Oryctolagus cuniculus: one gene and its partners. The protein of the gene in region 1 interacts with the protein of each later gene in a pairwise test. Links are inferred from orthologs where the notes say so. Each region holds a gene or a part of one and is shown in the gene's direction. Other genes may lie near its edges.

Region 1 (4,221 bases):
AGGATGTGCAGCAGTCTCCACAGCCTCTACCCACTAAATTGTCCCTTCCTCCCTTTGTGACAGCCATAACTGTCAAGACATCACCAGATGTCCCCTGGAGAACAAAACTGCTCCTAAGTGAAAACTTCCGTTCTGCTGTGTCAAATGCTATCCCATTTGCCAGCTGGGTGAAATCTATTTTTGCAACTCCAATTATCTTTTACAATTATTATGCTAAGATGTGCTTAAAAATGAGAACATTAAAAAGTTCTTCATTTTTTGTCATTTGACTTGTATCACCACTGGTAGTCAACATTTTAATGAATCTATAAATTTGCTGTGATATAAGCCTATAATACTTAACATATCTTAGCTGTAGGCTAGGAAGTGTTTTGAGTGCTTTATAGGGACCACTCCTTAACCATCGCATCAGACAGAAGAAGTGGTAGTATTGCTTCCTCCGACTTTGCAATCGGAGGACTTGAAGCACGGGGGTTCAGTAACTTGCTCGCACCCCCTCACCCCCAAGCAAGGTGGCTCCGCAGCGCCCTTGGCCTCCTACCTCGTCCTGCCTCTGTGTTTTCCCTGAGCCACGTCTCTGAGCCTCGATGTTGTTAAGGGGCACCCATGTGGGTGCAGGGACTATAATCCGCTGTCTTCCCAGGTGCATTAGCTGGAAGCCAGATCAGAAGTGGAGGAGCTAGGTCTGGAACTGGCACACCGATAAAGCGCTCCCTTGTTCACCTGCAGCCCTTGGCACTCCCGGCCACCCCCGCAGCAGCTCATGCTTCTCCCACCTGCGCCTCCTCTCGCGCTCTCCTCGCCAGGGAGGAGGAAGCAGCCAGAGTGAGAGGAAATAAGTAGATTCCAAAGGGCCCGCGGGGGGAAAATGGTTTAGCCCAGCGAGGCCGGGTTGGCTTTGGACATCTGGAAGAAGCAGGTGGGAAGAGGGAGGCTGGAGAAGCCAAACTTAGGCTTCGGGCACTGAGCTGCTCGTCACCAAGGCAACTGCGTTGTTATGGCAACAGCACGGGTACCACCGCCTCCTCCTCCCACAAGTAACCTGCACAGCGGCCAGACGCTTCCGCATGAGGGTCGTGCGGCCTTCCGGGAACGGCTCGGGCAGGCGGGAACTGCTGCCCCGGCAGCCAATCAATAAGCTCTATCCTGTCGGGTCGGGTTCCGCCCGCCAAGAGCGCCAAGAAGGGGGTTGGGACTTTTTTCGCTCTCGCCAAAGGGCGTTGAGAAGGGCGGTCTCGAGTCTCTAATCCACCACTTAGGAGCCAAGGAGAGGAGAGGGGCGGGGCCTGAGTGAGCCCGACTAGGGGCCGGGTACCAGTGTAACGTGGGGGGATCCGCCCACTCTCGCTTCTGCCCAGTAGCAAGACGGAGAGCTCATCCTGACGGTTGGAATGTCCAATGAGCGTCGCTGCCAGGCCCCGGTGCGGAGAACGCCGAGCCAATGGGCAGCGTCGGTGGGCGGGCGCGGGTGACAGGCGGCGCGGCGGAGGCGGAGCGGGCGCTGCGGCAGGAGGGAAGATGGCGGACGAGGAGAAGCTGCCGCCCGGCTGGGAGAAGCGCATGAGCCGCAGCTCAGGTGCCGCGGGGATCGGGGCCGGGGCAGGGCCGCGCGGGCCCACGGAAGCAGGGCGCGAGCTCTGCCCTCGAGCGCGGAGGAGCCCCCCGCTTCCGTCCCGTGAGGTCTGGGCTCCTCCGCGTCGCCCTCGGAGTAACGGCGCCGGCCCGCCCCCGTGGAGGGCTGCAAGGCTCAGGAGCCGGGAGGAAACTGAGGCAGGGGGCGGGGCGGGGGAGGGGCCGGGGAGGCCGCGGCGCTCCCTGAGGCGGCGGCACTGAGTCTGCCAGCCCGGCTGTCTGCAGCCAGCACGGGCCTGCTGCACCTGTCGCTCTGCGGGGAGCTGGGCCCGGGGCACTCCCTGGGGAGGGGGATACCCCTCACCGAGCAGAGAGGCGTGGCACACACACCTGCCGGCCACACCTCTTCCTGAGTCTGCTTGGAGCCCAATCGAAAGCTTGGCCCCGTTAGGTGTGCACCCCGCATCGTGTTTTTAGTTCTCTGAGAATTGCCGCACGTCTGGGAGATGGGTCGTTGGTGCGCCCATTTTACAAGTGGGGACGCTGAGGCCAGGAAGTGGAAGGATGTCTTCCAAGATCGTGCATTTCAGGGGGGTTGGAGCCGGCTTGGAACCCAGTCTGCCTGCTCCAGGGCCCCTGGCGCTTTTCCTGTGTCACCGCGAGCGCCCGAGGAGCTGGCCCGGCTTCTCTGAGTAGGTCTAGGGTCCCTCTGCCGCCCCTGGAGCCCGCAGTGGCCACAGTCGAAGTAATAGTCCTTGTGTGTCGACCCAGGGGAGGTTTGATGGTGTTGATTCGCTCACCCCCATTTTGCAGATGAGTAAAACTGAGGCTCGGGGAGATAAGGCCCACAGACAGCATCTTAGCCTCAGTGGGTGGCTCAGCTGGATTTGTTGCTGGAACCCCCCGATCCCCTGTGTTATTTTTTCTTCCCTGAAGTTAGCAGTCATTGGGGTTCTCTTGTTGTCGTCTTTGCTGGTTTGGAGCCTGTCTTCCCCCACTGAGCATGTGAGCCCCCTCAGTACAGGGGCTGTGCGCTGCCGTGTCCGCCCGTGGCGCAGGGTGGACACGCGATGGGTTTGCTGCCCTCCCCGCAGGCCGGGTGTACTACTTCAACCACATCACGAACGCCAGCCAGTGGGAGCGCCCCAGCGGCAACAGCAGCAGCGGTGGAGGCAAAATCGGGCAGGGGGAGCCGGCGCGTGTCCGCTGCTCGCACCTGCTCGTCAAACACAGCCAGTCCCGGCGGCCCTCGTCCTGGCGGCAGGAGAAGATCACCCGGACCAAGGAGGAGGCCCTGGAGCTGATCAACGGTGAGCAGGGGCTCTCGGGCCGGGATCCTCTCCACTTCTGCTCTCCCTGCTCTGAGGCTCGCCGACTCCAGGAGGAAGAGGGCGTTTGGAGGTAGAGCTGCAGGAGTTCCTGCCAGAGGGAACTTGGGAAGAGGCTCATCCTGGGCGGGGCCCTTTAAATCCTGGGGGCTGGGGGCGGAACTTGGGGAGGCAGCCGGACGCAGGTCTGGGTTCAGCAGAGCAGGGAGGCCAAAAGGACATGTGGGGTGATCCGGGTAAGGTGGCAGGAGGCTGAGCGGCCTTCCCAGCTCTGGGTCGGTGCTGCGGTGGGGCTGCACTCACCAGCTTGGGTCTTAGGAAGGGATAGACCATGAGCAGGTGGGCCCGGGCCCGCTCTTCCGTAGGTGGAGATTTGGGGATGTCAGCAGGCTGCCAGCGCGGGGGGGGGGGGGGGGGGCCTGTGGAGGCTGTGGGAGAGATTGCAGGCAGAGGCAGTGTGGCTCGAGCCTGGGGTGGGCCGAGGGTGGAAATGAGGGGGAGGCGGATTCTAGAGAGATTCAGGAGACAGACTTGGGAGGATGCAGGGGTGTGTGAAGTGGGCGAGGCTCTGCTTGGGAGGCCCACCACACCCTGGGCTCCTCAGGACTGGGGTCTTGTGCCAGCTGTGTGTCCTGGAGCAGCTGTGTTCTCTGAGCCTCGGTGGCTGCCTCTGTAGGCTGGGCGCGTGTCCCCATGAAGAGCCGGGAGCCGTGGGCTCGGTGTCTGGGGCTTGACCCCAGTCCTTGAGGCATATGCATGGGGGAGCTGAGGTCGAGGGAAGGCCTGGGCTCATGGGCTGCTTCTCTGGAAAGATCTCTGGGCCTGGACACGGGCGGTCTGGTGGGCTCAGCATAGACCCTCTGGTGACCTTGGACTGCGACCTTCTCTGACTTCAGTGTCGTCCTGCTCGAGGTGGGACTGGTGCAGGACCCTCAGAGGTTGCTAGGAGGCCGTGGTGAGCCGGCCTTGGCTGTGGCGCACTCAGTAACCAGACATCCTGTGTGTTTTCCACAAGCCTTGGGTGCCTGGGCCTTGTCCTGTGTGTGCAGGTGACTGCTCCCCCGGTCTGGCTGTGTTCCAGAGGATCAGGAGTCGATGGTTTGGCCAGCGCCCTCCCCAGCTGGCAGCCTGGGCCCACACGAGTCTCCTCAGTGCCCACTGGGACCCGGTGCTGCCCCGGGAGACGCGTCTGCAGCGAGAATCAGCGCCTCCACCTCTCTGCAGAGGCTCCTCTTCCCAGCATCAGCTCCTCTGCAGCTGCTGGGCTGCCGCCAGGGGCTGTCAGGAATCCGAGGCCCGCCCAGTGTCACTGTTGGTGTCC
Region 2 (3,500 bases), on another chromosome or scaffold:
CAAGACTGCAAGAAGGCCTTTATCCCTTGGGGCATTCACCCTAACCCTGGCCCTGGCAGGAGGATGCTTATATGTTTGTTATTTATTTATTTCACAGACACACACACACACACACACACACAGAGCTTCCATCTGCTGGTTCACTCTCCAAATGCTGGCAAAACTGGAACTGGGCCAAGCCAATGGCAGAAGCTGAGAACTCCATCCACTTCTCCCATGTGGGTGGCAAGGGCCCAACTACTGCAGCCCTCCAGGGTGTACATTAACAGGAAGTGGAATGGGGGCAGAGCTGGGACAGGCAGGACCCAAATCCAGGTGCTCTGACATGGGATCTGGACTGCCCAAGTAGGGGCTTCACTGTTGGCCAAATGCCCACCCCGAGCGGTGCTCTTTTCAACCTGGTTTCCAGGGAAGACGCCTTCGAGGGCCTGGGGGAACAGACAGCCCTGCCCAGGGTCCTGTGCCTGGGATCATGAAGGGACCTTCGCTAATTCCCTCCACCTTCATAACCTGAGGTTCTACCTTTCCCTTCTGCAGTGTCCCTGCCTCCTCCACCATGTTCAACTCGATGACCCCACCGCCAGTCAGTAGCTATGGTGAACCCTGCTGTCTCCGGCCCCTCCCCAGCCAGGGCCCCCCCAGCATGGGGGCAGAAGGTCAGTGCACCTATGCATTTCCCATCTGTAAGCGGCTTTGAGGCTCCATGTCCTACGGGCTTGGCATTTGGGATCAGGTCTTGCCTGGAGTTTCAAGGTGAGGCCTTACATGTCATCCACTCCCACGCCCCCATTCCAGCCATCTGTCTTTTCTAGGACTGTCTGGTCTGCCCTTCTGCCACCAAGCCAACCTCATGTCTGGCCCCCACAGTTATGGGCCAGCCAGAGAGACCAGCAACTGCACCGAGGGTGAGGCCTCAGGCACGTCTTTCCTCTCTGCCCCTCTGGGACTTGTTCTGAAGGAGAAAGTGGGTGGGCAGAGCATCTAACTAGAAGCAGGAGATGTCCAGAGATGTGAGGGCTCAAGGCATCATCAACAGGCCACAGATGCGATCAGCAGGACAAGCAAAGTTGCTTATTATTATTATTATTATTAGAGAAGCAACAGACAGTGAGTCCCCATTTTCTGGTTCATAGCCCAGATACTAACAACAGCTGGGGCTGGGCCAGGCCAAAGCCAGGCACTAGGAACTCCATCCAGGTCTCCCATGTGAGTGGCAGGAACCCAGTCACTTGAGCTATCACAGCCGCTTCCTAGAGCGTGCACTAGCTGGAGCTGGAGTCAGCAGTGGAGCCAGCTTTCGCACCCAGGCACTCTGATGCGGGACGTGGTCATCTTAACCCCTGCACCAAATGCCCAGCCCTCAAGTATCTTTTGTTTGCTTTGAATCAGGACCTACAGGTTGAGTTCAAGGAGATTTGCTTCATCACCATTTCTTTTTTTTTTTTTATGATTTTTTTAATTTATTTATTGAAAGGTAGAGTTAAAAGACAGAGGTCTGGCCGGCGCCGTGGCTCACTAGGCTAATCCTCCGCCTTGCGGCACCAGCACACAGGGTTCTAGTCCCGGTCAGGGCACCAGATTCTGTCCCGGTTGCCCCTCTTCCAGGCCAGCTCTCTGCTGTGGCCAGGGAGTGCAGTGGAGGATGGCCCAAGTACTTGGGCCCTGCACCCCATGGGAGACCAGGAGAAGTACCTGGCTCCTGCCATCGGATCAGCGCGGTGCGCCGGCCGCAGCGGCCGTTGGAGGGTGAACCAACAGCAAAAAGCGAGACCTTTCTCTCTGTCTCTCTCTCTCACTGTCCACTCTGCCTGTCAAAAAATAAATAAATAAATAAATAAAAAAGACAGAGGTCTTTCATCTACTGGTTCACCCCTCCAAATGGCTGCAATGGCCAGGGCTGTGCCAGGCTGAAGCCAGGAGCCAGGAGCTTCCTCAGTTTCCTTCGTGGGTGCAGAGGCCCAACTACCACTGCTGTCCAGGGTGCACATTAGCAGGAAGCTGGAGTAGGGAGCAAAACTGAGACAGGCAGGACTCAAATCCAGGTGTTCTGACAAGGGATCCCAGTATCCCAAGCGGTGGCTTAACTGCTGGGCCAAATGCCCACCCCTGACTCCACTGCTTTCCCAGGCGCATTAGCAGGGAGCCGAATGGGAAGTGGAGCAGCTGCGACTTGAACCAGCGGCCCTATGGGATGCTGGTGTTGCAGGCATCGGTTTAACCCGCTACACCACAATGCCACCCCCTTCTTCAACATTTCTATGTCCCCTGTCTCCTGCCCCAGGCCCACTCTTCCCTCCTCCCCGGAGTGCAGTCAAGTTGACCAAGAAGCGGGCACTGTCTATCTCACCTCTGTCGGACGCCAGCCTGGACCTGCAGACCGTTATCCGCACCTCGCCCAGCTCCCTCGTGGCTTTCATCAACTCTCGCTGCACATCCCCTGGAGGCTCCTATGGCCATCTCTCCATTGGCACCATGAGGTGCAGGCAGCCCCAGACTAAGAGGGCCCTAAAGCCCTACCAAAGCCCATGCAAAGCCCTAGCCCTCCAAGCCACGTGACCCTACTGAATCTTTGCCATTTCAAAGGCATTGCAACCCTCCCTGCACTGCCTCAAGCGCATCTCATACTAAGTCTCCCAGAAACCCTCCTGGAGGCTTTTTCGGCATCATCTTCAGTAACTGCCTTCTCTCTCCTCCTCCCCAGCCCCTCTCTGGGATTCCCATCTCAGATGAATCACCAAAAAGGGACCTCGCCTTCCTTTGGGGTCCAGCCCTGTGGGCCCCACGACTCCACCCGCAGTGGGATGATGCCACATCCTCAGGTCCGGGGACCCCTCCCCCCTTGCCAGGTGAGAGGCCCCATATGGCAACCTGCTTCCCCTTAGCTCAGGGTAGGGGAGGGAGTGGAGGGCGTTCTAGGAGAAAGGCAAAGAAGGGAGGACAGGGAATATAAGCATTCAGCTCCAGAGAGTGAGGAGGCATGGCTGCTGGAGGCTCACTCCTTGGGGTTCAATTACACCCTCCCAATGAGACCCCACATTCTGCCCTCCAGTTCACCTGTGCAGGCTGAAGTCCCTTCCCAATGTAAGGGTTCCAGTTGCTGAGGTGGGGCACCTAGGGCAGAACTCCCCCTTTCTTCAGCCTGCCGTTACTCTGACCACCCTCACCTCTTCCCCCTGGGGGCAGCTGAAGTCGGAGCTGGACATGCTGGTTGGCAAGTGCCCAGAGGAGCCCTTGGAAGGGGACATGTCCAGCCCCAACTCTACCGGCACACAGGTAAGAGGTGAAGTGGGGCTGGACCTCTGGGACCCTGAGCCAAACCAGTGCTGTCACCCATGTGACCCTCAGATTGCCTCTGCTGCCCTAGGATCCCCTGCTGGGGATGCTGGACGGGCGGGAGGACCCGGACAGGGAGGAGAAGCCGGAGCCGGAATCCGTGTATGAGACTGACTGCCGCTGGGATGGCTGCAGCCAGGAATTTGACTCCCAGGAGCAGCTGGTGC
Region 3 (2,920 bases), on another chromosome or scaffold:
ATGCACTATACTCCAGGGCACTGGGGTGCACAGGGCCCAGCTGGGGAACCCAGGCAGCTCAGAGGCTACCCGTGGATCTCCGGAGTCCAGCTCCTTCTCCCATTTTCTCCTTGTCTCAGTTTCACACAGAATTCCTGAAAAGATCTGGTTCTGAATCCAATGCACCAGCTGGCCCACTCCCTGCGCTCCCACCTACCCTTAGCTCACAAGCGGCTGACCTGGAGCTTGCTGAGGTCAGCCACCCCGCCTTGACCTGCGCACCTGTTCCCAGGGGGCTTTTGTGCATCCCCAATAATTTCGCCTCTGGGACCTCACGGTCACTGCCTCGGGCAGCGTGGTGTAATCTGATCCAAAGCCTTTACAAACTTGGTGTGCTCACTAACAGCAGCAGAGGGCTGGCATAACCCAGCTGCCACCCACGGGGTAACGTGAGGGATTGTCAAGATGGGAGCAAGGCAGGGCGAGCGAACCAGCGAGATGAAACCGTGCGACGCGCTGGCCGAGAGCTGAGAAGGCAGGGGCTCAGCCCCGCGAGCTTCAGGGTCCCTTCCGGCTACTCAGCACTCTCCTGGGGAGGATGAGTGCGAGGTGAACCCACAGCCTCTGAGAACATGATAAGCGACTGGTGCAGCGCCAGCGCAGCTGTTTTTAATGGGTCCTGCCCGCTCCTGGCTATCAGAAAGCCGTTCTGTGCACACCAGGCAGACTCGGCTCTGCTTAGCGCAGCGTTTCTGCGCTGTCCGACGCTTTAGGAATCACTTACAAAGTTCTTACCCACGCGGAGGGCACAGGAGGTGAGAACTGCAAGCAGTAAGGAAGGAATGGACAGCGGATAGGACTGAACGGGCAGTCCGGGAAGACGCGCTGGTAGGAGGTTTTTCACGTTCAGTGTATTCGAATGGCTGCACAAGACTATGAGCGACGCCTTCGACTGATGGACATCTGCGATATTCCCAACCGCTCGGGCACCAATCGCTGGAGCACCGGCCTGGGCGGCCTCGGGCTGCGCGGCTGGAGCAGCAGGACTCCGCGCCCGGCTCCCGTCCAGGAATTCGGCCGCTCGCCCGAACTCCAGTGCTGGCTGCGGACCCCTCGCGGCCTCCTCCCCGCCCTCGCCCTCAGCCAGGCAAGGTTCCGGAGCGGCCGCCGCAGAACACGAGCGGCGCGGGCCTCGGCACACGCGGCGTGAAAAAAGACCGAGTAGAGGCCTCTTGAAACGGGCTCCCCGGGAACGCCGCAGTCGCCGGCCGCACTCCGCGCCCGCTCACGGCCGTGCCGAGCGCCACACGAGAGCGGGCGACACGCAACACGCCGCCCTCGCGAGGCCCGCCGCGCGGCACCCGCTCCCGCACACCCGGCGGCCCCGCCTCGCCCACTGCGGCGCCCCGCCCCTCTCCCCGGCCGCCGCACGTCCTGGTTGCCACGGAGACACGTCACGTACGTGCCGTGCGTCGCCTTGGAAACGGCAGCTCGGCGCGCGGCCGGAGCCGCGCCCCCGCCGCCCGGGCCGCACTCGCGGGCGCCGCCCGTGCCTGGAAAGGGGTCGGGAGCCCCGCGCGGCGGCCTCGGCCTGGACGGGACCTGCGGGCGCGCGCTGCGCGGGGCGCGCTGACTCGGGCGCGGTCCGGAGGCGAGGCGTGCAGGGCGCGCGCGGGAGGCGCCGGCCCCGGTACCCCCGTAGCCGCCGCCCGGCGAGTCCGAGCTGGACGCGCCCCCGACCCCATGGAGGACGGCCCGCTGGAGCTCATGACCAAGGACGGCGGCGACGTGCCGGCGCCCCTGGAGGTGTCCAGCGTGCCGGCCGTGGGCGACGTGCTCTCGGGCGAGTACAACGGCGGCATGAAGGAGCTGATGGAGCACCTGAAGGCGCAGCTGCAGGCCCTGTTCGAGGACGTGCGGGCCATGCGGGGCGCCCTGGACGAGCAGGCCTCGCACATCCAGGTGCTGTCGGACGACGTGTGCGCCAACCAGCGGGCCATCGTGTCCATGTGCCGGATCATGACCACGGCGCCCCGCCAGGGCGGCCAGGGGCGCTGCGCGGGCACCCCCCGGGAGCCCGAGTGCCCTGCGCCGGGGGCGGTCGCCAGCGAGGACCCGGAGGACGGGAACGCCGAGGAGGAGAAGGAGCGGCCGTGCCCCGCCGCTCCCGCCGGCCGCCGCGAGCGCCCCGAAAGCCCCCGCGCAGGCAGCACGGCCGCGCCGCCGCTGGAGCCCCGAGACCCGCCCGACGCCGCCCTGCTGCGGCTGAGGGGCGAGGCCGCGCTGTGAGGCCCCGCGGGCGCCCCCCGGCCGCTGCGGGTCGGACGCCGCCCTCCGACGGCTGCTCGCGGTCCTGGCCGAGGGGCGCCCTCGAGGCGGGGTCTGTTGGGCGCAGGCCCGTGGGAGCTGGGGCCGCTCCCGCCGCCGGCCGCGGAGCCCTTGCGGGCTGCGCAAAGGTGAGCTTGCGGGAGAGGACGCGCCGGCCCCTGCCCTGCCCGTCCCTCCCCAGGTGGCGAGCGGACCGCTGGCCTGTGTAAATAGCACCCTGCCTTTTCTATTCACGACAAGGACTTCTCTAGGACGGTGGCAAACAATCTCAAACGATTTGCCTAGAAATTAAGGAATCGGGGGTGGGGGGGATTCTCTTCTGCCCCTCTGTTGAGTCCAAGACACTCGGTGCTCCGCAGAAACCGCCGCCCCCACCCCGCCGCAAGTCTGCGCTGCCGTTGGTAAAGGGAGCCCAGGACCCGGGTGAATGGGGTTCCCGGGGCGGGCGGGGAGGCGCTGGCTGCGAATGTGCATGAAGACACGGGAATAGCGCAAGCTCTGGATTGTGCATGCAGCGCGGATCCCGCCCGGTCGCTGACTTCGCCTGGGACTGCTTCTCCTCTCGCTGGGGTTAGAGAACAAAGAGCCCAGCTCGCAGCAGCCCAGATGCAGG
Region 4 (4,130 bases), on another chromosome or scaffold:
AGGGGAGGCAAGATAAAGGGCAGGCCAGTCAATAAATAGAAACTGTGATAGGTGCTGTGCAGGAAGGAATTCCTGGGAGCGGGAGGCGGCGCTGAACGAACTAGTTGCGAGTTGTAAGGTTATACATTTGTAGCAGTCAAGTTTAGACGCATAACTGGACCCATAAGACAAAAGGCTCCAGGCCCAGAAGAAATGGAAATTTTCTTCATAATGATGTTAGCATCCATGTTGTAAGCCTACAGCGGGCAGGAGGGTGTGAGGCGTGCCCCCCACACTCCGGGGTAACTGCACCCATTTCACGGACGAGAAAATAAAGTAGGCAGTCCCCCAGAGGCGCGGCGGGAACACTAGGCGGGCGCCTCGCTTTGCCCGAATGCCTTGACCCTCCAGGGCTGCCTGCCAAGACTCGTTTAGAAAAGTGCCCACTGTGTGCCGGGGGGCTCATTTAAACAGCCGCGGGATTAGCCGGATAAACAGGGCTCGGTCTCCTTTGCCAGGAAGGCGCTCCCCAAAGAGAGGCCAGGTGAACAATCAACTCCAGAGCGGGCCGGCGGGGGGCTCGCGGGGGGCTCACGGGGGCCCGGCTGTCCCCGGCGTTCCTCCGTCCCGGGCCTCCAAGCCCTCGCCCCGAGGGCGCGACCCGCGTCTCAGCCCCTACCGGCGAGGAGCCCGGGGGCGCGCAGCTCCCTCGTGGAAAGCAGGCAAACAAAAGTGGCACATCCCAGCCCCCGGTCCGCGCACGGCCAGGGCCCGGCTCCCCGAAGCCCCCTCTCCGAGCCGGGGCGCGGGGGACGCCGCGTGCGCCCGGGGACCCGGCTCTCCAGCCTCCCTTGCTCAGCCCGCCCGGCCCTCGCTCTGCCGTCGAGCCGGGGCCGGGGTCGGCCGCTTCCGCTCCGCGCCGCCGCCCCTCCCCGGCGCGCGCCATCCGGCCCGGGCCGCGCCGACTCCGCGGCCCCTCCTCCCGCCGGGGGGCTTCGGCGGCCCCCGTCCCGTCCCTGCGGGCTGACGGCGGCAGCCCACGTCCAGGGAGGGCGGAGGGAGGCGGAGAGGGAGGGGAGAGCGGAGAGGGGAGGGAGGGAGGCGAGAGAAAGGAGCTGCAGCGGACTCGGACTTCCCAAAGCCGGCCAGGAGCGCGCAGCCAGCGGCTCTCCGCGTCCCAGCGTCCCAGCCGCGGCCGGCGCCTCCTCCTCCTCCTCCTCCTCTCCGGCCGCCCCATCCCTTCCTTCCAGCCTCGCTCTGCTCCGGCAGCGGCAGCCCCCAGCCCCAGCTCTCCGCGCTCACTCCTGGGACGCGCGCCCTCGCCCCATCCTCTCTTCCTCCCTCCCTCCCTTCCTTCCTTCCCTCGCGCCCGCCCTCCCGCCCCAGGTCTCCCTCCCGGTCGCGATTGTCTCCGCGCCCCGCTCGGCCGGCCCGCGCCCGCGCCCTGCCCGCACTTCCTCCCCGAGTCGCCCGCCGCCGTCGTCTGCGCGCCGCGGGAGCCCAGCCCGAGCCTTCGCAGCCCCGCGGCGCCCGCCCGAGGCAGCCCCGGCGCCCCGGGGAAGGCAGAAGCGGGCGAGCGCGCCCTCGCCCAGCCCCGCGCCCCAGCCCTGCCCGGCGACGAAGGACCGGGAAGATGAACAACGGCGGCAAAGCCGAGAAGGAGAACACCCCGAGCGAGGCCAACCTCCAGGAGGAAGAGGTAGCGGTGGCCCGGGCGGGCGGCGGGGCGCGTCCGGGGGCCGGCGCGCCGTGGCCCCGGCTGGGTGCGTCTCCAGGGCGCGGGTTCTGGGGGTGTCCGCGCACCCTGCGCTGCGTGACTTGCAGAACTTTGCGGAGACACCCTCCAAGTAGAATGCTCGGCTTTGTGTGCCCGGGATTTTAAAAGCGGAATCGAGAGCTGACTCCTGGGTGACCTCAGGTTACTGGGACCCGAGGGTCAGGGCTTCTCTGAGCGCCAGGGGCTGGAAGCCGGCGGGAGGGAGTGCGTGTGTCTGTGTGCGTGCGTGCGGGCGGCTTTGGGAAGGAGTTGGGGAGAAGCTCTGTTAGGGGCTGGCGCTGGCGCCGGTGTGAAAAGTTCTTGGCCAAGTCTCTCCGGAGCCGGGGCGTGTGTGGATTCATCGATAACTCGCCGCCCGCGAGGCGGGAACCCCCGAACCCCGGGCTGTGGTAGACTTCGGGGGCGGGGTGTGGATGTGGGGAGCAGAATGAGAGGGGCCGAAAGCGTCGCTCCCGGAATGCTGGCCAGGACGCTGCGGTAGGACTTTGATTTGGGTTGTGCGTCCGGGATCCTGGAGGGGAGACAGCTTGCAGTTGGGGGGCACTTGCCTTTGGCAAACGCGAAGCCGAGGAAGTGTGGGGAAGGGGTGTGCGGGACGCACGTTCCAGAACTCCGTAGTTAGGGGATGATTGTGGGGTTTCTCAAATGACTGTTCCCGCAGCCCCAGAAACAGTGCCTCCGCTCACTTGCTGAGTTCCCTCGAAGTTGGGGCTCTCAGCCTTCCGCCAAGAGCTCGCGCGCGTGTGTGCGGGAGCCAGAGAGCGTGCGGTGCGCGCGGGCGGCGAGGCGGTGCCGCAGCGCCGGGCCCGAGAGTTGGAAGTGGACCTCGTGCAGGAATCCCTCAGCCCTTTTAAGTCGTCCACGTGTAAAATTGGAGCTATTTAATTAAATAGGAGAGACAGGCGAAGACCATGCAAAACAATGCAAAAGGTAGCGCCGTGGAGCAGCGTTGTCACCTGGGTGAGTTAGTAAGCTGAGAATTGGCTCCTGGAGGAAATCGCCTGTTTTATGACAAAGCTTTATTTTGAAAAGCTGTTTGCCCCTTCTTGTTTGGTGCCTGCAAATGTAGGACTACTCGTGACAGTGCTTTTAAAAAGACACCAAGGCTGGAATTCCAAATTCCACTTTCTGGCTTCTCTACTGTTTAGTTTATTTTCCCTGTCCTTTAAAAACTGAAAAATGATGGCAAATTTGCATTTTCAGGAATTGGCATGTGCAGCTAATTCACTTAACCCGTCAAGAGAATCATTGCTTCAGAAACCTTTCTGTTCCACTTAGAGTGGCAATCTGGCCGCTCCTAAGTGTGAGAGTGTATCTTGTGAAACAATCTTTCTCTGTTAACCAGTTGAGGAAACTTGTAGTTAAGAGAAAGTTCATCAGACTGCAGATTTTTTTCTTTTTCTTTTGGTAGTAGCAAAATGGGCTCAGGTGTCTCGAAAACCATATCCAATTAACTTAAAATCGAATGGACGACAGAAGTCAGATTTTTCTCTTGACCCATGCCAGGTGAACTGCCGCCAGGATTTGCCTGGATGGGCTCGGTTATCGCGAGGTTGTGGGTCCCTGTGATCAGAGGCCATCCAAGTCGCAGGCATTGCTTCTAGTTTCCCCAGCAGCGTTCCTTTCCGGGTGGGAAAGGCGTGGGCTCCTCCAGGTGTAGGTCTTTTTAGCAAAACGCTTGTTACTTAAAAAATAAGACAGGAGGTAGGAAGGTTTCAGAACCCAGGTTGTATAAGAAGCGAGAGTATACACTGCGGATACACCCTGACCAGAGAGGGTTTATGGTTGACATTCTGGTTTTGAAACACTAACCTCCTCTCTCTTTCTCCCCCTCCCCTTTTTTTTCCTAACCCTGAAAGCCACAAGTTAAATAAATATGGCATTTGGTGGGTGCCATTCAGTGAGCTTAGCATTGCACAAAATCCCACTGCACTGGCCGCTTTGCCTGCCCACCCAGAGGAGCAGCGGTTTGTTTTCAGAAAGCTTTGGCAATGGGCCGCAGGAGACAGGGCATACACGTGTAACACGGACACGCACACACCAGGACAGGAGGGCTGTTTCTGGTGACTTGTGAACGGCAGTGGACAGTGAGTTCCAATCACCGTGAGAAAACGGTCGATGTTGTGGTTGTCAGGGTGCTTCGGCTGTTTGCCACCTTGTGCAGTCCAAGTTGTGTCATTTTCTATGGAAATGAGTTCCTTTTATCATCCAGTGTATTTTAACCCCGGTTAAGAGTTTCTGATGCCGACCCTGAAAAAGATGCCTAAATCCCCGTTTAGCTCCAGTTGGATAGAATGAGCAGTCCAGCATTTAGGAGAAATTTCTGCAGTTTTTGGTGGTGGGAGTTTTTGAGAACTTGAGCAGAATACACTTT
Region 5 (3,500 bases), on another chromosome or scaffold:
CTGATTTTGCAGATTTTCTCTTTAAAATTATACTGTTGATAAATTTTTTGTCAGAAATATTTATTGATCATAAACAGATGGTTAACAAGTGCTAGGCACTGTTCCAGAAACTGGAGATACTGCTTGCTCTCAAGGAGCTTAGATTCTGGCAGGAAGACAAGCAATAAACTAGTGTTAGGTAGAGAATTATTATAGGGTGAAGTGTGTGACAGAGTGGTTAATGGCAGGCTATTTTTTTTTTTTAATTTATTTATTTAATTTGAAAGTTATGGAGAGGCAGAGAGAGAGAGAAAGAGGTGTCTTTCATCTGCTGTGTCTGCTCCCCCAATGGCCAGGGCTTGGGCCAGCCTGAAGCCAGGAGCCGGGAGCTTTACCTGGGTCTTCCACATGGGTGCAGGGGCCCAAAGATTTGGGCCATCTTCTACTGGTTTCTCAGGCACATAAACAGGGAGCTGGATCAAAATGGAGCAGTCAGGATTCGAACTGGCACCCATATGGGATGCCAGCACTGCAGGCGGTGGCTTTACCCACTAGGCCTCAGCACAAGCCCCTGGAAGGCTTGGTTTAAATCAAATGATTGGGGTAGGGAAAGATCTGAATGCAGGAAGCAACCAGCTAGGCAAAGATTGGGCCTCAGTCAGCATTTCAGGTAACAGGAACCACTGAGAGCAAAAGGCCCTATGCGGGAAGCAAAACCCTATGTGTGGCTGGAGTGTGGTCATGGATGGGGACTGTAGAAAATGAGGCAGGGCCAGACCTTGCAGGCCTGGGCATATAGTTTGCAGTGTGGTGAAAGAAGATTAAAAGTGTTTTAAGCAAGGGAATGACAAAATATGATTTAATTTTCTATATTGAAAGAAAAATTACTCTGACTACTGTATAGAGACTTGATTGTACTGAGTACCTGTAGAAGTAGGGAGGTCATGAAGTTCCTACAGACAAGAGATGATGGGGTTCACATGAGGACAGTCCTGGAGAATCATAGATTTGCTACATTTGTTGTCCTTAGGCGATTGAATAGAGATTGAAAATGTATTTTTTTTTTTTATTTCAAGCTTGCTTTGGAACGTCAGAAAACTGCAGAGAAAGAGCGATTATTTCTTGTATATGCTAAACAGTGGTGGAGAGAATATTTACAGATTCGTCCCTCACACAACTCACGGCTGGTTAAGATTTTTGCACAGGTTTGTAAATTATGGTAGGAAAGCTTCATGCCTGTATTTGAGCTTTACTGTTATACATGTAAGTTTAATTTAATTATAAAGAGTATTCAGACAGATGAAAGTTTACTTGTAAAATAAATAATGATTATGTAATACTCTTATACTGAGTGGTATAATATAATCTTCTATTGTACTTTTGATTTTAATTATTGTGTTTTTAAACCTTTTTTGAATATATTTGATTTGAAGTAGTTGTTTAACTTAGAATATATCCTAAATATATATATATATTTATATATATATAAATATATATATAAATATATATAGAATATATAGAATATATCCTAAATACTTAGAATGAAATAATTAACCACTTCAACACTTTTATATGTAAGATCAATTTGTGTGTGTGTGTGTGTGTGTGTGTCTACTTTTGGAGCAGGGTGGGAATGGCAATTTTTTGAAGCAAACAATTTTATATAATAATCCTGTGTAACCAAGATCTCCTAGCCAGTGACCAGTAATTTCGCTTTGGTGTTTCAACAGTATGTCTCTGCCTCTGTTTTTCCCATTTTCTCTCTTTAACAAACATAAAATATATGACAAGAGTCGTATATTTTTGAAAACTTTTGAAGAACATTCAAATATTTTATATGTATTCAGCCTCATTTTGATGATTTTATATAATTTTACTTATTTTCATTTTTTGTTTGAGGGACAAACACTGGTTCACACCCCAAATGCCCACAACAACCAGACTGAAATCGCCTGGAACTCAATATGGCTCTTTTGTGAGTGTGGTGGGACCCAAATATTTGAGCCATCTTCTCGCTCTCAGGGTGACATTTAACAGGAAGCTGAGTTGGAAGTAGAATTGACAGGACTTGGACCAAGTGCTCCCATATGGCATGCAGATGTTGCACGTAGTGATTTAACTGACTAAATCATGGTGTCAGATGTGTGTTCTGTAGATGCTTTCATATCAGTATAGTATAGAATTACTTTGTCTTATGTTTGTAACTTTACCCTGCTTTCCTCCAGATTTTGGAACAGGCTAAAAATGGTTCAATTTCTAGTTGAGGAACTTGGAAAGAGTAGACTCTAGCTAGTGGTGGGAACAAAGGAAACGTCTCCAAACCTTCTGGCAGCAATGTCTGCTAGTACACATTGCATGACCAGGTAGGCGAGGAATCCAGGACCAGGAGGAGGGAAAGAAAGGTGGTGACAGATCAAAGAAGAGGAAAAAGTTGATAGGCTGCTGAGGAAATTATAGAATTGGGATTTTCTTCTGGGAAGTATTACTTCAACAAATTTCCTGTTTCTTAGAATTCATTATGGGCTGGCACTGCAGCTCACTAGGCTAATCCTCCGCCTGTGGCGCCGGCACACTGGGTTCTAGTCCCGGTCGGGGCGCCGGATTCTGTCAGCTCTCTGCTGTGGCCCGGGAAGGCAGTGGAGGATGGCCCAAGTGCTTGGGCCCTGCACCCTATGGGAGACCAGGAGAAGCATCTGGCTCCTGCCTTCAGATCAGTGAGGTGTGCCGGCTGCAGTGCGCCGGCCGCAGTGGCCATTGGAGGGTGAACCAACGGGAAAGGAAGACCTTTCTCTCTGTCTCTCTCTCTTAAAAAAAAAAAAAAAAAAAAAAAAAAAAAGCATTATGAGAAGATTTGAACCACATAAGGCCATTTTGTCTCAAATTTTTTCTTTTTTTTTTTTTTTTTTTTTTTTTTTGACAGGCAGAGTGGACAGTGAGAGAGAGACAGACAGAGAGAAAGGTCTTCCTTTGCCGTTGGTTCACCCTCCAATGGCTGGCGCGATTGCACTGATCCGAAGGCAGGAGCCAGGTACTTCTCCTGGTCTCCCATGTGGGTGCAGGGCCCAAGCACTTGGGCCATCCTCCACTGCATTCCCGGGCCACAGCAGAGAGCTGGCCTGGAAGAGGGGCAACCGGGACAGAATCCGGCGCCCCAACTGGGACTAGAACCCGGTGTGCCGGCGCCGCAAGGCGGAGGATTAGCCTAGTGAGCCACGGCGCCGGCCTATTGTCTCAAATTTTTAACATGGAAGATTGTCAACTGGCCAGGCATTGCCTCTTTTCATAAACAACATGAAGGGTAGAGATGTAAAGATCTTTCTCGAAGATTGAAAAGCAACTCAGTTGTAGTAGAGTATATATTAAATTGTGCTTTTTGATTGATGCCTTTTCGGTTTATGCCACCTCTTTCCCCATACATAGAATAGGTAAAATGCTTATCTTACTTGGATTTCTTGAGTTGTTTCTTGCTGCTTCTTCCTGAACTCGACTATTTAATGAAATTAAGAAACTGCTGTTCCATT
Region 6 (3,979 bases), on another chromosome or scaffold:
TCTAATATTAATGTCTTCAACTGCCAAATTTTTTAGCACATTTAATCTCTTAAGGATTCCATGTCTTTCCCAACACCACTACAATCATCATCACCATTATTACAGCCATCGCATGTTTAATGCTTTCTTTCCTTTGTTTTTCTTCTACCTGAAACTGCCACATTCTTCTTTTGTATGTTTATATTAGGTGGTGGCTACAGTGAAACACTGCACTACTAATAGTACTAATTATAGAAAATATTTGTTGTACACTTACTACAAGCCAAGTGTTTTTAGAGAATTATCTCAATCCTCACAAGTGGATGGGATACACAACAGCATCATCTATAATTTATAGTTAGAAACAGAACTTCTGTAGACTCAACACTGTTGATTTCACTTCCCTTTTTCCCACCTACCACCCCGACTGCCAGTTGGTTTGGGAACTCTAAAAGGGCCTCTATGAAAACGGCATGGAATTGCCTGCTGGCAATTAAACACTCCAGTAGTTTGACACTAGAAAGATTTGGAACTGTCCACCAACAGGTGCTGCTGAGAATCCTGCTTGTTTGTAGGAACCTCACTCCTCTGTTCCAGTTTATCTTTTCTCAGAGGAGTGTTAAATACTTCCAGGTTCTCTTCAGAGAGGAGCTGGAAAAACAGTGAAACCAAGTGATTCACCTGAGAATAAGCCAGGAGCACTGAAAGAAAAAAAATCAGCTTATGAATCTTTTGCAAAGTCCAACCACTCACTTGGCTTTTTAACAACCTTGAGTGCTATTGAGTAAAAGATGCTCCAGAAAGGACAAATTTGGAGTAATGATCATCTGCTGTCACAATAATTTTCTTCACATTTGTCGTCATCTTTTCTGATAGCAACTTTAATGCATTTTATTGGAAATCCATAGAAAATGCCAAGTACAACTAAACTGTTTTATACGTTTCAATCTCCACTTCATTTCAGTTTAATTATTATCTTCCATGCGTATGCACCCTAGCCCCATCTCTGACGACCTGGAGTCCAGGATCGGAGACCAAGAGCATCATTTCTCAGAGCGCCAGCCCCAACTTCGCTCCCCTCCAGCCCCTGCAGCTCGCTTCTCCCATCTCCCCTCCTCTTAGCCCGTGGCTTACCATTGGTCGTTGCCATGACAACCAGCAGCTGCTGGGCCGGCAGCCTCTACCGCAGCAGGGGTGGGGCCGTGGGGGAGGGGGAGAGAGATGGGGGAGGAGTCAGAGGAGGTGTCTGCTGCAAGTTCCTGGCTGCTTCTGAGCTCACCCCATCCTCCTAGAGGGAGGAGGCCCAAATGGTGATGCTGCTGCTGCTGCCGCCGCCGCTGCTGCCGCCTCTACTGCTGATACTCTAGCGGGGCTGGAAGGGTGGTTCCCATTCGCACCGTCGCCAACCAAAGAGGGAGGGGAAAAAGACCAGCAGCCGCTGCTGATGTTGGGTTCGGAGGCTGCATCCGAATCGGTCACAGGGAAAATGGATTCAGTTTGCATCTCTCCCTCCTTTCAGCAGCTTCTCCGGGTCTCAGCATGGTGAGTCTGAGACAGTGGGTCACCCTTCTTGGTTTAGCTTGTTATTACATGACTTATATATACGTGTGTGGCCTGGACATGAACAATGACTCCCATCCCTGAGTCTGAGTGAGGAGGAGGGGGGTGGGGATATGGAGACAGAGATGGGGATGGAGAGAGAGGAAGGCTGCCAGGAAGAGGGAAGTGAGACGGCATCCGTTTGCGTGTGTGTGTGTGTGTGTGTGTGTGTGTTTAATGGTGTTCTGATTTTGTCTTGAACTGGCTCAGACTACAGACAGAGCCAGTTGGTTCCTTTCCTACCAAGCTTAGCAACAGAATGGGGAGGGGGGGCTTGTGGAAAAAGAGCTAACCAGGAGGAAAGGGTGTTATTGAAAGGAATCAATTCATTTGCAGCTCTCACATACAGCTTTGGGCCTTCCTCAAAAACACCTTTGGTATCTTGTAAGCTTCCTCGACTAATTTTAAGGTGATTTGGCTTATTTTTCTTCACTGCTAAGAAAAGGTGGCTCCAGAATTCAGCATTCTATTTCATATTTGAACGTACTGTTGTTGAGGAACCATTTGCAAGATCCAGAGTTTGATTTGAGGACATAGGTTTGGTTATGAACATATACACCATAAGGATATGCATATCATCCATACACACGTTCCCCAGCATTTACATTGCATTTATGAAGAGTGCTTATATGCAGTGTGCTTTGCAAGCGTTTTTGTGGGTTATGAATGTCCCTATATATTTGGAAGTAATTGCATATTTTTTGAAACAGTTTCTGGCTTGTATTATTATTCATTGGCTTCATTTGGATTAATGTGAGATTTATTCCCTTAGTTTCATTGTGACCCATTAGGACAGATGCTTATCATTCGATCTGTATCATACAACTAGATGCCAATTCATAGCTTGCCTCTTTATTTTTAATTGGATTTGAGGGGAGTGATTTTGAGGGCCCTGAATTTACAGCGGTGGTAAAGGGACATGGCTTGTGGTATTATTTTGCATCCAGCATTTTGCCAATGGAATGTTTAAACAAATTGGTTTTCCTGAAATTCTACTTCAACCTTTTTATGTCTGAGCCTTGTGTCCCGAGAAACACAGCTGAGCTGGGAGACGAAATGCATTCATTTGGTTTTAGAGTGCTGCTATTCGCTGTTCATTCCTTCAGTATCCAGGCACCATTTTACTGTTCTCTCAAATGTTGTGTTATGGTCTGCTTCTGTAAGTGGTTAAGTAGGAAAGTAGGATTATTTTGAAAATTTAGGTGTCCCCATCTACGCTAGCCTAGCCATTTCCAAATTGGCCTGCTTATACAATGAAATGGAAAAAAAGTGAGCAAGTGTTAGCAGGGAGAATGTGGGACTTGTAGCTGAAATGGGGGGGGGGGTGATTGTAGTTTACAATGCATGCTAGGATCAGCTTGACCTTTTATTATGTCAAGGCTTTAAGGCAACTCCAGGGGACTAAGCATGCCTGAGATGAGTAGTATATACAGCTCCATTACAGGATAATGGATGTTGTTGAATTAAAGCCAGGACAATCCCTGCAGGTAAAAGTGAATTAGTAATATTACATTCATCGTGTACGCTTTTTTTAATCCATCAGCCTCTTTTCTAATATCGTTGTCAGTGCAAACTTTTTTATGTTGTAATTGTTTTGCTTTAATCTTGCATTTTATTTCATGCACTTTTCCCCTTTCCATTTACAATTTTTACAGATCTTTGAATCAGGTTTATAGCTTAATTTCTCTGAAAATAATTGTCCTGTTTGGTACATACATGGGAAGCTTTGTTAGTGACTTTAGTTAATATTTTCATAACTTGCCATAGATTATATAGATTCATAACTCTCTAAATTCAGGTTCCATGTGCCTAATTGTAAAAACTACATTAAATAGGACAAGGAAAGAAGCACTGGGCTTATATGTCATATCAAAAATTTTATAATACACCATATCCTGAATCTTTTAATGATAATTCGACTTCCAAAATTAAAATTTCAAATATATCTACAGTAAACTTGAAAAAATTAAGACACATAGTAGCTCACCCTCGTTCATGCAATGAACAGATATCCTGGGGCTTTGTTTTTATGTCTTTTGTTTGAATGTGGTTTCATAGGCAAAGTTGGTACAGTTTGATGAGAGGCAAATCACCACAGTCCATGGGTTTAGAAGTCACTGTAAGTAGACTGTTTCAGGCCAGACACTGATGTGTATACAGATCTAGGTTTTGATCCTGCAACTTAAGATGCTTATGAGGCCTGTCTGAGGGGCCACCTAAAAATAAAGTATATTTTAAGGATTGCAAATTGAACTCTGAGGAAAGATAAAAAAAAGTAGGATTATTTTGTTTGAAGAAGAGACAAATGAGAGGTGACAAGCATTTGTTTGTTTCAGATAACCAGATGGTTTTATCTGGGACATTGCTTATTTTTATTTTCTTAGAAACTAAAATATGGCCA
Region 7 (3,500 bases), on another chromosome or scaffold:
AGAGATTGAGTTGTTTTGAAAAAAAAAAAATCGTAACTTCTTCCTGCATGAGTCTGTATTTGCAGTATAATTTTCACTGGTTACATTTGACTGTGATTTTTCTGCTCTTGTGCTTTTTGAAAAAAGTAATTGAGATCTTTTGGTGCTTTTATAGGTGATTTTATGGATTTACTTGTGAGGATTTTTTTTTTTTTTTTTTTTTTGGTGGGGAGGGAATCTGTTTTCTTTACAGAAGGTTAAAAAAATTAACTGTATTTTATTTTAAAAAAATAAAAATTAGAACTTTCCTTATCTAAACTTGTTGCTCACTCCCTGGGTGACATGTTGTTCTTGGCCTTTACAGGTATGTCTGTCAATACATGTATACATGTATTGACAGGCTTTTCAACTTCTTATTTGAAAACATTATTTGATTTCATATGTTTATGTATTGTTTCATAATTTTGTTGTGTTTAAAAAAAGTCCTTTTGTCTTTTCAGTCACCAGACACTTCTGTAAGTTCAAGTACACTATGTTTTTCCTTTATCCTTCATTGGCAAGTTACTCCTTCATTCTGGATTTATTTTCCTTTTTTCCTGAAGCACATAATTTTAATTGTTCTTCCAGTGACAGTTTCAGTCTCTGCATGAAAACCTTTTTTACCATCTTATTCCTGAATTTTTTTAGCTTTTTGTTTTTATTTTTTTTAAACTTTTCATGTTGATTTGAAATGGTTGTGGGACCCTGGGAGAGAGAAAGAGAGTTATCTTTTCTGCTGGTTCACTCTCCAAATGTCCACAACAGCCAGGGCTACACCAGGATCATGGAACTCAATCTGGATCTCCTGTGTGAGTGGCAGGAACCCAGGTATTTGAGCCATCGTCTGCTGCCTCTCATGGTGCACATTAGCAGGAAGCTGGATCCAAAGTGGAGCAGCTGGGACTAGAACCAGGCACTCCACTATAGGATGCACGTTTTCTAAGCAGTGACTTACCTGCCACACTAAACACCTGCCCCTTTGTTTTTACTATTTTCATGGTTATCCCAGCGATTACAGTATAGCTACTTCATCTTTCAGGATCTATTGGAGGTAATATTTGTACCACTGCAACTATACTTTATGTAGTTATCATGTATTATATAGGCATACATTAAAAACCCCTCCAGTGTTATAATTTTAACTTTTTTAAAAAAATGTTTGTATTGAAATATAATTCACATCATAAAAATCACTCATGAAAGTGGACAGTTCACTGGTTTTGGTATATTCATGGGATTGTACAACCATCACTATATTCTAAATTTAGAACATTTTTGCCATTTTCCAAACTCCTTCCAAAACCTAGGTACCACTAATCTAATTTGTTTTCATATATTTGCCTAATCTGGAGTTTTCATATAAATGGAATCAATATGTGGTCTTTTGTGACCTCTTTCACTTGGCATAATGTTTTCAATTTTCATCCATATTATAACATATTAATATTTCCTTGTTATTGCTGAAGAACATTACATTGTACATGTTTTATTTGCCCACTCATTTTATTTGTTTCTATGTTTTTGCTATTACGAACAGTGCTTCTGTGAACATTTGTGTACAAGTCTTTCTATGGATGTATGTTTTCATTTTTCTTAAGGTCTACCTAGGAGAGAAATTACTGAACCATATGCTGACTCTGTGTTAAACCTTGTGAGGGACTGATGAAATGTTTTCCAAAGCAACTCACCTTTTCACATTCCCACCAGCAACATGGAGGGTTCCAGTTTCTACATGTCCTTACTAACATTTGTTTGTCTCCCTGATTCTTGCCAGTGTGACGAAGTGTCATTATGGTCTTGCACTTCCCAAGGGCAGCTGATGCTGAGCATCTTTTCATGTACTTATTGGCCATTCATGTATCTTCTTGAAGAACTGGCTGATCAGATCCTTTGCCCATCTTTTATTGGGACATTTATCTTTTTAATATTGAGTTGTGAAAGTTCATTCTGCAACCTAGATACAAGCCCTTTACCAGACGCATAATGTTCCATGTGTACTACTCTGTGGCCCTATAATGTTTTAAAGTGATGGGAATTTTTACGTATTTTTTCCTCCTTATTTAAGATGTATCCTTTGAAAATATCCAGTGGAGTGTAGATCCAGGAGCAGACCTTTCTCAGTATAAAATGGATATCACTGTAATAGATACAAAGGTAAGTTACAAGTAGAATGAAAACACATCTGATTTTAATTCTAGTGAGCTGTTAGTCAACCTTCTTTTCTGACTCACTCTAAGACCTTAAGATCATCAGATTTCTCTTAAAATCTACATTTACTTACTCAAAAAACTGCGAAATAAAGGTACTTGTTATTCTCACTTTATGATGTTTTGAAAGGGTAATATTTCCTGACTTTAAAGACTTTTGCTAGGAAACATTCATGTAGTTTTATAAGTAATATAAGGTACTAGTAATATATTTTAAATAATTGTTATCCAAATAATTTATCATCCATCTTGATTAGCTGTGAAGTCATGTTGCTTCAAAAAGAAAATTCATATTCCCAGTTGACTATTTTTATAATTAAAATTCATACTGAAAATACTTTTTTGCCTTATGATTCTAAGTAATTTGAGAAGTTGTCTTTTACTTTAGTAGCATGTTCACAACAAAATGTTTAAATAGGTGATATATATACCAAGAAAGAAATCATATTTGGTTTTGCTATTAGTGTACATTGGTGTTCATTACAGTGAGACAAACTGGAGAAGAAAGGTAGCACAAGCTCCAGGGAGTTTGGTGTCAGTAGCTCTCCCTTTGTAGCTGTTGTTAAAATACAAATGTGAATATGAGTTCATTCTTAAAAACTGAAAGATTTATTGTTTATTTTATCAATTTGTTTTTGTGAAAAGTAAATATAAGGCCACAAAGGGATAATTGTTTTAGATTTTTTTAAAAATATTTTTCCAGGATGGCAGTCAGTCAAGATTGGGAGGAGAAACAGTAGGCATGGACTGCACATTGGTCAGTGAAACCATACTTTCAAAAATGAAAAAGCAAGAGCAGAAGGGAGAAAAAAGTCCAAGTAAGATTTTTTTGTTTTTGATAAAAATATGGGGGGAAAGTTGGTCATTGTACTGTTGCACTGATGAACACCATGTTCTCCTCACCATAAACCAGTTTGTTTTTTCCCCTGCTTTGTTAATTTTATTTTCCTCTTAGGAAAGCTCAATTCAGTATTTTGGGGGGGGAAAAACACCTTTAACCTAAATAATTTTTATTTCAGAAAGAAATCAAGTTATGTCCAGGGGTCAGTAAACTACAGCGAGTTAAAATTAAGTTTTATTGCCACACAACCTCTTTCTGTATTGATGTGTTGCCCATGGCTACTTGTACTAGACAATGACGGAAATCAGTGAGTGGTTGGTGCGGAGGCCCCATGGCCCCACATGTTTAAAATACTTACTACCAGTCCTTTTGAGAAAAAGTTCACTAATGTCTGGTTGAGATAAATTTTTTTATGAAGCATATAAAGAATCCTG

What was found.
Region 2: the proteins of PIN1 (region 1) and GLI1 interact in binary tests that used the Homo sapiens proteins (3 or more experiments, as listed by UniProt). The link is inferred for Oryctolagus cuniculus from reciprocal best matches to the Homo sapiens genes PIN1 and GLI1.
Region 3: the proteins of PIN1 (region 1) and CCDC184 interact in binary tests that used the Homo sapiens proteins (3 or more experiments, as listed by UniProt). The two-hybrid records come from large-scale screens. The link is inferred for Oryctolagus cuniculus from reciprocal best matches to the Homo sapiens genes PIN1 and CCDC184.
Region 4: the proteins of PIN1 (region 1) and RBPMS interact in binary tests that used the Homo sapiens proteins (3 or more experiments, as listed by UniProt). The two-hybrid records come from large-scale screens. The link is inferred for Oryctolagus cuniculus from reciprocal best matches to the Homo sapiens genes PIN1 and RBPMS.
Region 5: the proteins of PIN1 (region 1) and CEP76 interact in binary tests that used the Homo sapiens proteins (3 or more experiments, as listed by UniProt). The two-hybrid records come from large-scale screens. The link is inferred for Oryctolagus cuniculus from reciprocal best matches to the Homo sapiens genes PIN1 and CEP76.
Region 6: the proteins of PIN1 (region 1) and JAKMIP2 interact in binary tests that used the Homo sapiens proteins (3 or more experiments, as listed by UniProt). The two-hybrid records come from large-scale screens. The link is inferred for Oryctolagus cuniculus from reciprocal best matches to the Homo sapiens genes PIN1 and JAKMIP2.
Region 7: the proteins of PIN1 (region 1) and RBBP8 interact in binary tests that used the Homo sapiens proteins (3 or more experiments, as listed by UniProt). The two-hybrid records come from large-scale screens. The link is inferred for Oryctolagus cuniculus from reciprocal best matches to the Homo sapiens genes PIN1 and RBBP8.

The regions. Positions count from the first base shown.
Region 1 is NC_091447.1:67,377,720-67,381,940, reverse strand, and holds the start of PIN1 (peptidyl-prolyl cis-trans isomerase NIMA-interacting 1), read left to right. Parts: upstream 1-1,421; 5' UTR 1,422-1,518; coding exon 1,519-1,576; intron 1,577-2,666; coding exon 2,667-2,882; intron 2,883-4,221. UniProt on the Homo sapiens protein: Peptidyl-prolyl cis/trans isomerase (PPIase) that binds to and isomerizes specific phosphorylated Ser/Thr-Pro (pSer/Thr-Pro) motifs.
Region 2 is NC_091442.1:60,090,853-60,094,352, forward strand, and holds part of GLI1 (zinc finger protein GLI1), read left to right. Parts: intron 1-537; 5' UTR 538-556; coding exon 557-656; intron 657-812; coding exon 813-905; intron 906-2,281; coding exon 2,282-2,477; intron 2,478-2,701; coding exon 2,702-2,846; intron 2,847-3,138; coding exon 3,139-3,273; intron 3,274-3,364; coding exon 3,365-3,500. UniProt on the Homo sapiens protein: Acts as a transcriptional activator. Binds to the DNA consensus sequence 5'-GACCACCCA-3'. Regulates the transcription of specific genes during normal development.
Region 3 is NC_091440.1:137,729,988-137,732,907, forward strand, and holds CCDC184 (coiled-coil domain-containing protein 184), read left to right. Parts: upstream 1-1,460; 5' UTR 1,461-1,722; coding exon 1,723-2,268; 3' UTR 2,269-2,420; downstream 2,421-2,920.
Region 4 is NC_091433.1:80,425,844-80,429,973, forward strand, and holds the start of RBPMS (RNA-binding protein with multiple splicing), read left to right. Parts: upstream 1-1,330; 5' UTR 1,331-1,612; coding exon 1,613-1,678; intron 1,679-4,130. Other genes in the region: collagen alpha-2(I) chain-like, read right to left, coding at 446-1,216.
Region 5 is NC_091441.1:69,551,029-69,554,528, reverse strand, and holds part of CEP76 (centrosomal protein of 76 kDa), read left to right. Parts: intron 1-1,055; coding exon 1,056-1,184; intron 1,185-3,500. UniProt on the Homo sapiens protein: Centrosomal protein involved in regulation of centriole duplication. Required to limit centriole duplication to once per cell cycle by preventing centriole reduplication.
Region 6 is NC_091437.1:35,267,463-35,271,441, reverse strand, and holds the start of JAKMIP2 (janus kinase and microtubule-interacting protein 2), read left to right. Parts: upstream 1-1,179; 5' UTR 1,180-1,521; intron 1,522-3,979.
Region 7 is NC_091441.1:54,689,054-54,692,553, reverse strand, and holds part of RBBP8 (DNA endonuclease RBBP8), read left to right. Parts: intron 1-2,083; coding exon 2,084-2,172; intron 2,173-2,928; coding exon 2,929-3,043; intron 3,044-3,500. UniProt on the Homo sapiens protein: Endonuclease that cooperates with the MRE11-RAD50-NBN (MRN) complex in DNA-end resection, the first step of double-strand break (DSB) repair through the homologous recombination (HR) pathway.